2 linked regions of the Caenorhabditis elegans genome follow. The protein of the gene in region 2 interacts with the protein of the main gene of each other region in a pairwise test. Each region holds a gene or a part of one and is shown on either strand. Other genes may lie near its edges. The genes, in order: bmk-1 and pdhk-2.

What was found.
Region 1: the proteins of pdhk-2 (region 2) and bmk-1 interact in a two-hybrid assay, tested with the Caenorhabditis elegans proteins (one large-scale study listed by BioGRID).

Annotation. Positions count from the first base shown.
Region 1 is NC_003283.11:14,452,566-14,458,736, forward strand, and holds bmk-1 (Kinesin-like protein), read right to left. Parts: upstream 4,420-6,171; 5' UTR 4,315-4,419; coding exon 4,312-4,314; intron 4,163-4,311; coding exon 4,089-4,162; intron 4,040-4,088; coding exon 3,833-4,039; intron 3,783-3,832; coding exon 2,474-3,782; intron 2,429-2,473; coding exon 1,869-2,428; intron 1,781-1,868; coding exon 1,561-1,780; intron 1,449-1,560; coding exon 1,290-1,448; intron 1,242-1,289; coding exon 1,142-1,241; intron 1,097-1,141; coding exon 837-1,096; 3' UTR 737-836; downstream 1-736. Other genes in the region: F23B12.7 (uncharacterized protein), read left to right, coding at 1-304; coh-3 (Rad21/Rec8-like protein C-terminal eukaryotic domain-containing protein), read left to right, coding at 4,910-4,971, 5,018-5,220, 5,265-5,431, 5,481-5,641, 5,689-5,825, 5,873-6,003, 6,051-6,171.
Region 2 is NC_003281.10:8,736,951-8,743,219, forward strand, and holds pdhk-2 (putative [pyruvate dehydrogenase (acetyl-transferring)] kinase, mitochondrial), read right to left. Parts: upstream 4,463-6,269; coding exon 4,395-4,462; intron 4,168-4,394; coding exon 3,913-4,167; intron 3,805-3,912; coding exon 3,618-3,804; intron 3,568-3,617; coding exon 3,464-3,567; intron 2,624-3,463; coding exon 2,488-2,623; intron 2,223-2,487; coding exon 2,124-2,222; intron 1,731-2,123; coding exon 1,623-1,730; intron 1,342-1,622; coding exon 1,093-1,341; 3' UTR 736-1,092; downstream 1-735. Other genes in the region: nssp-33 (DUF19 domain-containing protein), read right to left, coding at 5,139-5,201, 5,587-5,706, 5,756-5,830, 6,195-6,269. UniProt on the Caenorhabditis elegans protein: Inhibits the mitochondrial pyruvate dehydrogenase complex by phosphorylation of the E1 alpha subunit, thus contributing to the regulation of glucose metabolism. Required for normal lifespan.

The sequences.
Region 1 (6,171 bases), on a different chromosome or scaffold from region 2:
TGATGATGATGAAGATGACGAAGACGCTGAAGATGATGATGAAGTAGATGATGATGATGAGGATGATGATGAAGATGGCGGCTTTGGAGGAAAGAGTTCTGCGAATATCTTTGGAGATGCTGACGAGTCTAGTGATGAAGAAATCGGAGCTAATGATTACGAAATGGCCGGAGATAAATTCGCAGAAATGTTGGAAGATTTGGAAGAGGACGATGGCAAACGTGGAAAGAAGAAAGGTGGAAAGAAGAGAGGATCGACTGGAGGTTTCAAGAGAGGTGGAGCCAAAAAGTTCAGAAAGCGTTAAAGCTTTTGGATTCATTAATTGTTATTTGTTTTTCTCTGTTGTTTTTTTTTGAATTTTGTTTTCGTATATTTTATCATGTTGACGGAATAAATGTTATCCTTGAAATTACTTCTATTTACTGAGACTTCGCTGAGACTATTTCAGCCGAAACTACAGTAACCTGATAGATTTTCGTAGTGAGCCAGTTTTTTTGAAATTAGAGCGCGCTAAAAAACGCAAAAAACCTAGAATTCAGTAAAATTTGTAACTTCATTTCATGTTTCCAAGATCCCTGTGATAATTTGATCTATAGCTCATTTTTATTCCAGAGGGTTACTGTAGCTCTGAAAAATGAACTAATAGTTTTGTGCTGAATCTTAAATGAGTGTGATAATGAAATATCACCGAAACCTGTTGAAAATTGCTTTCCATGATTTGTTTAAAACGCCGGTCATTAAAATACAAAGAAATTTATTGAATTTCACGAGAAAAATTAGCGGAATACATTAAAGAAATGAGAAAATATTTGACATGGAACGAGTTGGTGTGTGCGTTAGTTTTCGAAATCTTCTTCTTCTTCGATTGCTTGTTCTCTTCTCTTTATAATCGACGAAGGACTGAGGAAATTGTTCGTAGTTTCGAGAAGACTGTCTCGGCGGACGAAGGATGTGACACGACGCTTCTTTGTGGCAAGTTCATCGGTGTCAAAGTCGTCATTTCCTTCTCCAAATCCAAGAAGAACTTCGGGTTCGACTGGCTGATTCAACTCCGAGACGAGTGGGAACGATGGAAGAATTCTTTGTGGGACATTCACTGAAAAAATAATTTTCTTGATGGTTATTTTTTATGATAACCAACCTGATGGGTCCACGTGAACCAGAACAACAGAATTGACAACGGCGGCCGACTCCTTTGTCACGACAATAGTCGATTTCGTGAATTCATCGAGGAGCGAACTCTGAAAGATAAATCACATTATTGAGACACATTTCACGGAAAAACTAACCAATTCGTCTGTTGCTTTCTTGGTGCAATCCGAAACCAGCTCGCCAGTTACTTTGCACTTTTCACTGGTTGCCGAGAACCTGCTTTTCAAGGTGTTCGAAAACTCCCTTGCCTCTCCACGCGTAGCTTCAGCCTCATCCGAAAATGACTTGAGAGCGACCTGAAAACAATGTATTATCTTGCGCGATTGAACAATATTTGGGTTTATGAAAATAGAACAACTTCGAGAAATCGATTTGTATAAATGGATAAAATAAAAATTTGCTGCGAACCTTGACTTCATTTTCCTTTTCCTCCGCTCGTTCCTTTTCAACTTGAATGTGGTTCTCCTGTTTTGCATCAGTCTGCTTCAGAGTCTTTTTCGTGTCGTCCATTTCTTGTTTCACATCGCAAGTCTCCACAATGTTGTCTTCGAGTGATTGAACTACGGTTTCTGCTGTGTTTAGAGTATCCAGAATTGTTTCTTGGTTGTTCTGATCCGCAATTACTTGCCTGAAAAATAAATTATCAAAACATGATCTCACAACAACTATAATGGTCTGAAAACAATTATCAGAAAAAGTCCGCTTGCAAAACTTACTTTTCATGATTCTCCGCAACTTTCGTCGACAGCTGCTCAACTTGCAACATCAATGCCTTCATGGAATCAGCCATCGAAGAACAGGCAGCTCTCACATGCTCCACATTCTTCTTACTTTCATTCGTTCGTGCTTCGTAGCTATCACATGTGGTTTGATGGAGAGTAGATACCAATGGTTTCATATCTTCTGTGAAGTCGGATACTTGTTTCTTCACCTCATCCAATTTGTCAACTACCATCTGAGTGAATTCTTGAGATTTGGCCGAGTATGACTTGTAAAAATCATCACACGTCTTCATGACTGTTTCCAATCTGATTCGATTTTCCATCGATATGGCAGTCATGTTGTCGATGACTTTCTTCTCCGCTTCCGACGATTTCTTCATTATGCATATGGCATGTGTCTCCATATCCATTGCCGTACTCTCAATGTCTCGATGAGCAGATTCCATTGATTTGACATGAGGGCAAATATTTTCCGACAACTTCTTTGATAACAGATCACCATCAGCTTTCAGCGAGTTCGTCAGCTTTGAGGTCGTGTCGATGAAATCACTCATCTGAAAAAAAACATCTAACTAAGAATGAGATAATCCTAATATTACCTTTTTCGAGAAGTGGTCAATGACGATTTTATTCCTGTCGTCAGCTCTTTCCATCTCATCAACTTTTCGCCAAAATGCACGAAGATCAGTCTGCATTTCATCAGCTGCTCCTTGAGATGTTGTAAGTTGATCGAATGCCTTCAGTGCTGATGTGTGCATCAAACCGATAACTTCGATATGCTTGTTGAGCACATCGTTAGTATCTGCGAGTTCTTTCTCTTTGACAGCCATTTCGCGAATTCGATCTCTCAGACGATCCTCGAGTTCTCCTTTTCTCTCGTACAACTGTCTATACTGCTCATCCATGTGCATCTGATCTTCAGTGAAAATTCGCAAACGATCCACAGCATTATCCAAATGTTGTTCGAGCTCCTGAACTTTTTCCGAATTCTTTTGGAACTCATCATGCGATTCTTGGCTGATAATAACACCATTTTTTTCTCTTGCAGCTCTCAAGTCTCTTCGCAGCTTCTCAATTTCGTCCGAATACTCTTTGAGGATAGTCTTCTTTGATAATTTTGTGTTGCAGACTGGCTTATTCTTGATATTGGCCGCTCTCATAGCATATTCCAAAGTACTCTGACTTTCCTCGAAATTGGAGCTTGAAGGAGATAGCGTAGCAATCAAAGAAGTGATTGTAGATCCACCGAGGCTGTCCTGTAGAAGACGAGTTAACTTCGACTCTCTGTATGGAATATGCTGGCCATTGGTTGTCAGTAAACGAATTACTCTTCCCAGCGTCAGAAGCGATTGGTTAATGGAACCAGCCTCTTTAGCACGATTTCCTTGTGCTCCTGATCGTCCGATATTTTCAGAACCAGCCAAGTCAACGAGATTAAGCTTTCCTTGCTTCACCAGTTCCTCGCCAGTGGTTGTATTCTCCCGAATGACGACATTGACCATGAAGAGACTGTGAGATCTGCTACTGTGCATGTTCATCAAAGTGGCCGCCGTTCGTCTTTTCTCAGCACCCAACTGTAGAAGTTTGAAGACATCTGAACGATTTCGCACAGGCACTTCTTCCACGCCCGAAACGATTACTCCCTTCTTGTTTGGATCATCAAAAATGCGAAGGCGTTCACGATCTTCATTATCCGTCGAAGCCAAGAGATCGAACAGTTCTTCATTGTAGAGTTCGATGTAACTGACTCGAAGCGAATACTCCTCACAGCCGCATCTTTCCAACTGCTCGAAAATATCCTCAACGGCACGAGGTATGATTCCAGTCGTAGGGTCATCAGTTGAGCTTTTTGCGTCTGTTCTCCCTCCTTCCATTGTGAACGTTTTTCCGGTTCCAGTTTGTCCATAGCTGAAAATTACTATTATATTGAATATTATTGAACCGTCCTGTCTACTAACGCAAAAACTGTGCAATTAAATCCTGCGATAACCTTCTTAATTTGTGATGACACGAGGTCCGAGTAGATTTCTTCCTGAGTCGTGTCTGGGTCATAGGTCCGGAAAAATGGGCCAAATGACTTTCCCTTCAACTCGATAGCTTGTTTTCCTTTGTCCACTTTCACAACGTTGGTGCACTTTTCACTGCGCTCGGTGCCATTCATTGGCCTATAAAAGGGGCATATTTAACTGAAGTAAAAATAAGTTTAAAACTCACCGAATACGAACAGCGACTCGCAAATTGGACGTGGGCTCGGAGTGCTTCTTGCGGGATGCCATTGTCGAATCCAACTAAAAATAACTAATAAAAATTGTAACTAATAAAAGTGCAACAGGAAAATCAATTTGAAATACAATGATTCGCGGCGTCGTGCGATAGAGCGCACCCGCAATAAATGCATTTACCTCATGGGAAAGAAAGTAACCTGCAAAAATCTTACCATTTTAAACAACAACCCAAGTGAATCGAATGACTGAAAACGAAAAATTAGCAGGGTATTCGGCAGTAGCACAAGATTGAGACAAGAAGAGCAACAAACCGAATCAATAGAGAAATAAAAATGAATTTATATTTTTAGAAACGTGATAACTACATAAGTAGTGGTTAATTACTGTGATATATTTGGAGCGAGGAACAACGGAAAGGACACGCGAAAGCAAAGCATAATCGCAAAATTAAATTTTAAAACTTCTAAAGTTTTTAAAAAAATTTGTTCCTCATAATGCTTAAAAATCTCATCGAAAGCAAAACTATAAACATTCTAGAAATTAAAAAAAAATGGCGATTCAAAACTTCGCGGCTGAACATTGCTGGGTCCTGTCACGAAACAGCTAGATTTGATGTGTGCGCCTTTAAAGAAGTAGTACGGTATGCAATGGTCTCGCAGCGATCGAGCAAGCTTACGCGGAGTTTTCAAATTTATTTTTGGGGTTTTTCACTTTTTTATCATTTTTTCGTTTCTTTCGAGTATCTGCATTAAACATCTTTGCAGTTAAAAATTGCAGAAAGTCAAACGGGTAAGAAAGGTAACAATCAGCATGGTGATAAGCATCGATGTACCGCTCAAAGCGTCGGAGGAAGCGACTGTGAAGTTCCTATTGTAATAAAAAGTATTTTATGCCGGATTAATAAATTTTTTCTTGCAGAGGAATAGTTTTTGGTTCTCACAAGAAACTCGGCTTGCAATCAAATCGTCGTGAGTGCTTCAGACACGATGTTCTTCAAGCAAGCAAGCTCATTCAGTGGATTCTCAGTAACGAGAGGAAAAACAGAAGATCTCTCTCCATTGCGTGTAATTTGGTGTACGGAAACACCATAGTTCTCAGTACTCAAGTTGCTCGACTTCTTCGTACGTTGCCAGTATTTAAATTATCACTTTAACAAATATTACAGAAGATGCAATTCGTGCTCGAGAGATCGTCGCATTCACTTCGTACCTCGCGGAAGAAGATGAGAGGAAACGAAAAACTCGTGAACAGATGGAAGGTGACAACTCTAAAACACCAAAGAAGAAGAGAAGAACGATGGTTGAGGAATTTCCTCTCACTCCTACCCCGATCGTAAGTCTAAATGTTTCAAAAATCAAAATTAAAATAAAATCTATTACAGAGTGTGGCTCTAAAACAAAACATTACAATGCCAGATGTTCTCAGTCTTCACAAGAACGACCAAATTAACGTTGAAGACGATTTGGCTGCACCAACAATGGAACAACTTGAAATGATGTACGGGATGTTGGAATCAGAAAATCGGAACACAGCGATTGATTTGTAAGTTCTCTCCTTATATTGTTTGCAATATATATAGAATATTTCAGAACATTCATCGATCGATATTCCTCCAACGATTGCCGTCAAAATGTTCATAATCTGAATTTGGAGACTGATTTTCAACGCCCATCTGATGACTTTATCCGGAGCCAGCTCATGACACCTACCAAATCTATTCCACAAGGTTGATGATTAAAAATGAATTGTAGAAATATTGTTTTTTATTTATAGAAGAGGAATTTCAACCAGCCACACACCTGAAGGAAATGCTTCTTTTCCGCCAACTCCCCATCACACTAGACGAAACTGAGAGAAGAAGAAGCATGGAAGAAGAAATGGAGGAAGCGAGGAACTCTGGAATCGTATGTATAATATTTAAAGTCTTTAAAAACCGAATGATCATTTTCAGAACACCGAGTTTATTCCGCCACAACAAATGGATGTTCCACGACTTGTCTCGGAAAACATGGATCTAGATGACGAAGTTTCGATTCCAATAAGAATTCCCAAAGTTCCTCTTAGTGCTACAA
Region 2 (6,269 bases):
TCTGTGTACGCGAAGTAAGCAGGAATAAATGTGAGAAAGAGATAAAAAATTATATTAGATAGAATTATGAATTTTTAACCGTTTTTTTCGAAAAAAGAAACCGAATAAATCAGAAAAACAACCGTTCGAAACTGAAAACAAATGAAAAATTACAAAAAATATAACAGGAAAAAAGTCAACAAAAACTGCGCCGCACTCTTGCATGTCTAAACCACGCCCACTTTTCTGTGCCAGCGCCATTTTTGTAGCTTTTTAAAGTTTTTTGAATCAATTCAGAGCTGGACTTTTCGTCAAAGAAATAGTTTCAATTAATTTAAAAGTTATAATTTTTATTTAAAAAATATTTGAAAACTCGTATAGTAGCTTAAAATATTTAAAAAAAAAACATTTCAAACAACAAAGAAAGCGCCTAAACAGAAAAGTATAGAAACAGAGAAATATTTGCACTTTCTGAAGATAGCAAAAAGTACAGATAATTCTATATAAATTTCCAGAAAAGGAGATTTTTTAATGTGCCGCACATCTATGTTCTCAATTGAACTCCATGGAAGCATTCAAATGTGAAAAGGCGCTCACAAAAACACCAAGATTTCCATGGCACATCGTCAGCTTCTCATCCTAGTAGTCGTCGCCGAGTGCGCAGCGCGAAAATTAAATTGTTTTGTCATGGAAGAAAAAGATGGAAAGAAGAATCTTCTCTTCTTTTTTCCACAAACTTGTCAAATTCAAATGTATGAGTTTGAATGATTTATTCCAAAGTTGTGAGTCTAATTCGGGAGGGATTTCAAATCACAACGAACTCGTGAAATACGGGGAGAGAAGAAAAAGAAGAAGAATAGAGCCCATCGCACCTACAAACGATTATATACAAAAAAAATGTCCGAGAAAGAGTAGAGCTAGAAGAAGTTTCAGAAAGAAAACAAATAATTTTGCTAGAAATGTTTTATATACAACAGAATTCTCGGGATTTGATGGACACCGGATAGACAGAAACGGAGAACAGTAGAAGTAAAAAGACGAATAAAATGAATGGCTAGAATATATTCACAACTTACAAAAAAAGAGCAATAAATACAAAAAACTCGAGTACGATCATGATTGAGCTGGACGATTTCCTTGACCAGGAACATGATGCGACCAATCAGCTACTTGTGGTCCCATTGTCAAATTTCGACGCGAAGAAGTACTATAAATTGGGAGTACTTCACTAGCCTCAACTGGTACAGCTTTCAAGTAGATACATGCATCCGTTCCATGTCCTTCCATGGAAACCAAAAAGAGGTCACCAAGGAAATACCGAGCGTATAGTCGAGATAGTGGCAGTCCGTATCCGTAACCAGCCTAAAAATCTCGATTTTTAAAAATATAAACCATACAGTATGAATCTGGACTCTAGTTATTAAAAATTCAACTTATTTTCGAAAAATTAGAAAACTTTTAAATACTGGTTTTTTTCAAAAAAAAAACTCTTAAAACTTCTATAACTTGATCAAAAATTGGCTTTGAAATTTTTTTTGAAACAAAATGTGATTTATAATGGTTTTATTGTTGTTTTTTGGTTTTTCACAAATATAAATTTTTGGTCCATTGTTTTTGTTTATTTTTACTTTCAAAATACTTACCAAAGGAGCTTGTGTTCCATCACGTGGCGGTGGTGGAGCTGTTGAGTACATGTAGTTGTAGAGACGTTCGAGAATAGTTCTGGATACACCTCCTCCACGATCACAAATCTGTAAAAGAAAATATTTGAAACCTGCGGCAAAAATTGCAAAAAAAAACCAATTTTATTTTAAAATAAAACATTCGAATTTTTCAATAACTGTATATACATATGCTAGAATTTTTCCAGTAACTTAAAAAAAAAATTTTTGACAAAAAAATTAAAAGAAAGTTTAGTATTTTTTAGACTCTAAAAAATTGTTTAAAAAATGTTTTACAATCTCTAAAAAGTAAAACAATTCCATAAAATTTAGAAAAAATTCTTTAAATTAAAAAAAATGATACTCAGTATATTGAGACTGTCTTCTGTAATTTAGGGCAAAAATCCACAGAACCTCACCAAAATGTACAGTAATTTTAAATAAAATACGACTGATTTTCGAAACCAATCAATAATTCAATACCTTAATAGATAAATCCTCTTGTCCTTTGACTACATAAACTTTAATATCTGGAAGATCATCATCAACTCCATGATATTCAACTGTCGCTCTCATTGCATTCTGTAAAAAAAAGAGAATTTGAAAACCCCTCCATACACATTTTTCTGTTCTTTCTACTTTCAACTTAATCGTTTCCTTTTTTAATTCCTCTTTTTCCAATTCTCTTATCATTTTCATCTCTTATCTCTCTTTTTCTATCGTTTTTTTAGTATCAAAACTGCAACAGCACGTGGGGAAGAAGTGTGTGCGTTCAAAAAGGCACTTTGTTACATTGAAGTGATGAAGAGGCGTCGTCTTTTTTTTAATTCGTATCTTCATAGCTAACCTTAAACAGTTCGAACATCATGTGATAGAGATGACTTGGTACGGCGACAATCGATATTGGTTTTCCTTTTTCAACGGCATTGTGCATTTCAAGCTTCATTGATGGACTTGTCAAGTAGTATCGATCACATAGAAATCTGTAACAAAAAATTATTATATGAAAATATTAGCTTTTTCTGTTTTTTTTTAAGTTTTTCCGATTAAAATCATGTCGCTAAATTTCAGGTGAAATAGTTTCAGCCGTTCCTTTATTTTTGCAAAAGTGAAAAAAATCATTAAAAATTTTTTTGTGTTTTTTTAACCCTCAAATCAAATTTTCTATGATAATTTTGTAAAAGATCAGAATAAAACTCCCACGGAAATTTTCTAAATCAAAATTGCATATTTTCCTCCTTATCCCTCTAATTCATATTTTCGTTCTTTGAAATGATCAGGTTTGCCCGAAATCACACGCGTTTTAAAAAATCAAACGTCATCCCTCTCCATCTCAAAGAACACTCCCTGCACGGAAGAAAGGTTGAATGGGCAGTGGTGGTAGAGAGAATGAACTATGTTTTCAGGCTCAAATGACAACTGACGACTATGTGCTCACCCAGAGACACAGCACATTCAATCTTCGTCGCAGACGGACAGCGAAGAACTAGCTTATCAAAAACCCAAAAGACGCCATTCGTATAGTTGAGAAGGCCTGATGAGGACCAGAGCGGTCCAACGGAAATTTTTGTTAAAATTTATTGACTTTTCGTAAATTTTTTGAGAAAAATTTACTCAGAATTAATTTATCACAATTTTCTGCAAGAATTAAGAGCCGGAAGTTCTAGCAAAGAAGCAAAAAATGAAGAAATGGAAGGTATTGCTGAGGGCCTTGAACATCAATCTCAAAAAAAAAATTTTAGAACATTTTCTGGTGAAACTTTGGACTTTTATCGGCTTATTTCTTTAATTTCTAGGCAATTTTATCATCAACTTGCACTCACCGAGCATTTTCAAAAGCATCGTACACTACACTTTCCACATCACAGGCAGGATCAATACATCCAACATGACGAGGACTTTCTGGGAGAACATTTCCGAATACAACCTGGAAAAAATGTTTTATTTGAAAATATTAAAATTTTTAAAATAACTTACCAGATGTTGATTTTGAAGCATACGAATGGAAATTCTGTTGATGTAAAATCGATCCAAGAAATATTGAATTCCTTTTTCACTTGCAATATCTACTCCATCCGATTCTCGAAGTTCAATCAATCCTTCAGCCATTGTTTCGACGACATGTGCGTGTCTTTTCAGTACGACTGTTAACTGATCATTGAATCTGAAAAACATAAATTAACATTAATATTTTAAAAATGTATTTCTAAACTTTTAAAACCAAAAAATCAAGTTTTTTTTTGTAAATTAGGTATTCAATTTTTTCTCTTACCTTGCAACTTGCTCTGGAGATGAATCAGATGCCTCGAACAAAAGAAGATCCTCGAAACTCTCAGCATACCAATTTGATACCATTTTTGAACTTGGCATTTGAAGAAGCTTTGGTGGAAGAAGTGTGAATTCCTGCATAATATTCGCCAAACGAACGAGAAGCTCATTTTTCAAAAATGTGTATGAATTTGCTGATGTTCCTATTCGACCGAAATCCAAATATTGTTGAATTGTAAGTGATGAAGGTTGAAATTGACTGAAAAATAACTTTATATTGAATTTTTCATCGAAACAAGATCAAAATTCACTCAACAGTGCAGAAAAATAAAAAAAAAACGACGCCTTAGCCGGCTAAAAATAAACAAAAACTAGTTTTCCCTGGAACAAACAGACCGGGCAGAGAACAAAGGCCATCGATTCCAATATTAAAAACGATACTTTTCATAATCTCCTGGTTTTTAAAGCTGAAACAAATATTATTACCTATAATAATCGAGTTTCTTGGCCAATGAACCCACGAAAGGGCCTAGTAACTTCCGCGAAAAGCGCATCTGAAAATTAATTTGTTTTTTTCTATTTTTGAAATGAAAACGAGAAAGTACAAAGTGGGACAATCAAGAGAAATACGTTGTTTACGCTGCCGCATTGAGAAAATTATGGAATATTGAAAAAAAGTGAAACAGAGAGTATAAATTGCACGTCGGCAATCTCCTCCTCCCATCTCGCTTCGAGTTCGGCCGATGCGATGAAAATCGAGGGATGCGCCAAGGCGGACACTGACGCAATTCAGTGTCTTGCGCAATTCAAGTTTACGGCGGTAGTTTAAAATTACAAATATGGGAATTTGAGCTTTTTGAAGAAAAGCCAGCGTTAAAAACAATAGTTTAAAATAATTATTGATGTCACTGACTTACTTCACTATTTTGCCATTATAAATGCTTTTTTGTAACCGAAAGTTTTTTTTAAATTTTTTTAATGTCGATTACTACTGTACTCGTTAAAGGCGTCGGTTCGGGTCGTGTCGAGACCGGGGTACCGTATTTTTGAGTTAACAACGAATTATATTGCAAATTAACATTACGAATATTTATTTATTGCGCCTCAAATTTCACAAGATTTAAATAAATTAAAGTAAGTAAAAACAAATTGCAATGCCAGAAAAAGTGTGTGAACCAGAACCAGTATACAGAAAGTTGAGAAGAAAAAATGAACTACTCGTTGTAGAGATTAGAATAATGCAGAATGCATGTCACAATTGGGCATTGTCACACCAAGACTGTCACGTGTCACCTGAAATTAGCTGATATTTCAATAATACGGGATTTTTTGCACAAGGAAAGTTATTGATCTTATTTGGAAAATGACCAATTTTCAAATAGTACCCAACAAAAACGTTAGGGGCGTGCCCTAGAGCACTTTAATCTGGCAAAAAGTAGATCTGAAACTTATTCAGTGCATTTATCATTACTTGAAATCTGCCAAACTGATCAAAAATATGTTTTTTTTTAAACTAATGATGGTTGTAGGAACGCTTTTTGGAATTTCTTGGTTTTTCGAAAAAATTACTCTTCTTAACTAGATCGAAAAAGATCAGAATTTTTTAAGAAAAAGAAAAACATCTTGAAATGCCAAATTTTGAGAATTAAAAAAACAATTTTGCCCTTGATAAACATACAGTAGAAACTAATGTCCATGCATCGGAACCACACTTTGCCAAAATAATTGGATGAGAACATCTCAAATATCCATCCATCGCTCGACACATTTCAGTCAAATACGCTTCTGTTGATGATCCCTGAATCTCATACTTGATCTACTCAAAACATGAAACAAAATGAACTCACTTTTGCTCCTTGTGCTTCAGAAATTGCTTGAGTGGCTGCTATCTTACAGCTGATATACTCTTTTTGGGCTTCGACCTTAAATTTGATTACTGTAACTTTGTTGAAGAAGACGAAGAGTGTCACAACATTATTTGTAGATGCAAAAATGTTGTCAATCACAAAAGAGTAGAAACTTAAATTGTAGAAAAATTCTAGACAACTGTCTTTCTGATACTCTTTTAACCAATCAATTGATCAAGTTATGACAGTTATTTTTTTAAAACAGTTGTCCAGACTCTTTCCAAATTAGAAATATTCTAAAGTTTCTTTTGCCGAATACTGTACTTAGTTTATACCAACTTTTTTTAAACCAGTTTGTGATTTTTTATAATATACGATTAAAAGTGTTGTGTCTAAAGTGTGTCTATCTTCAGAATAACAAGTGAAACTGTGGCAGTACCTCTGCAAAACATCCGGCATGTTTCTGAAATAATGGTTGACCAGAACCACACATGTAACTGTATGAAGCATGAAC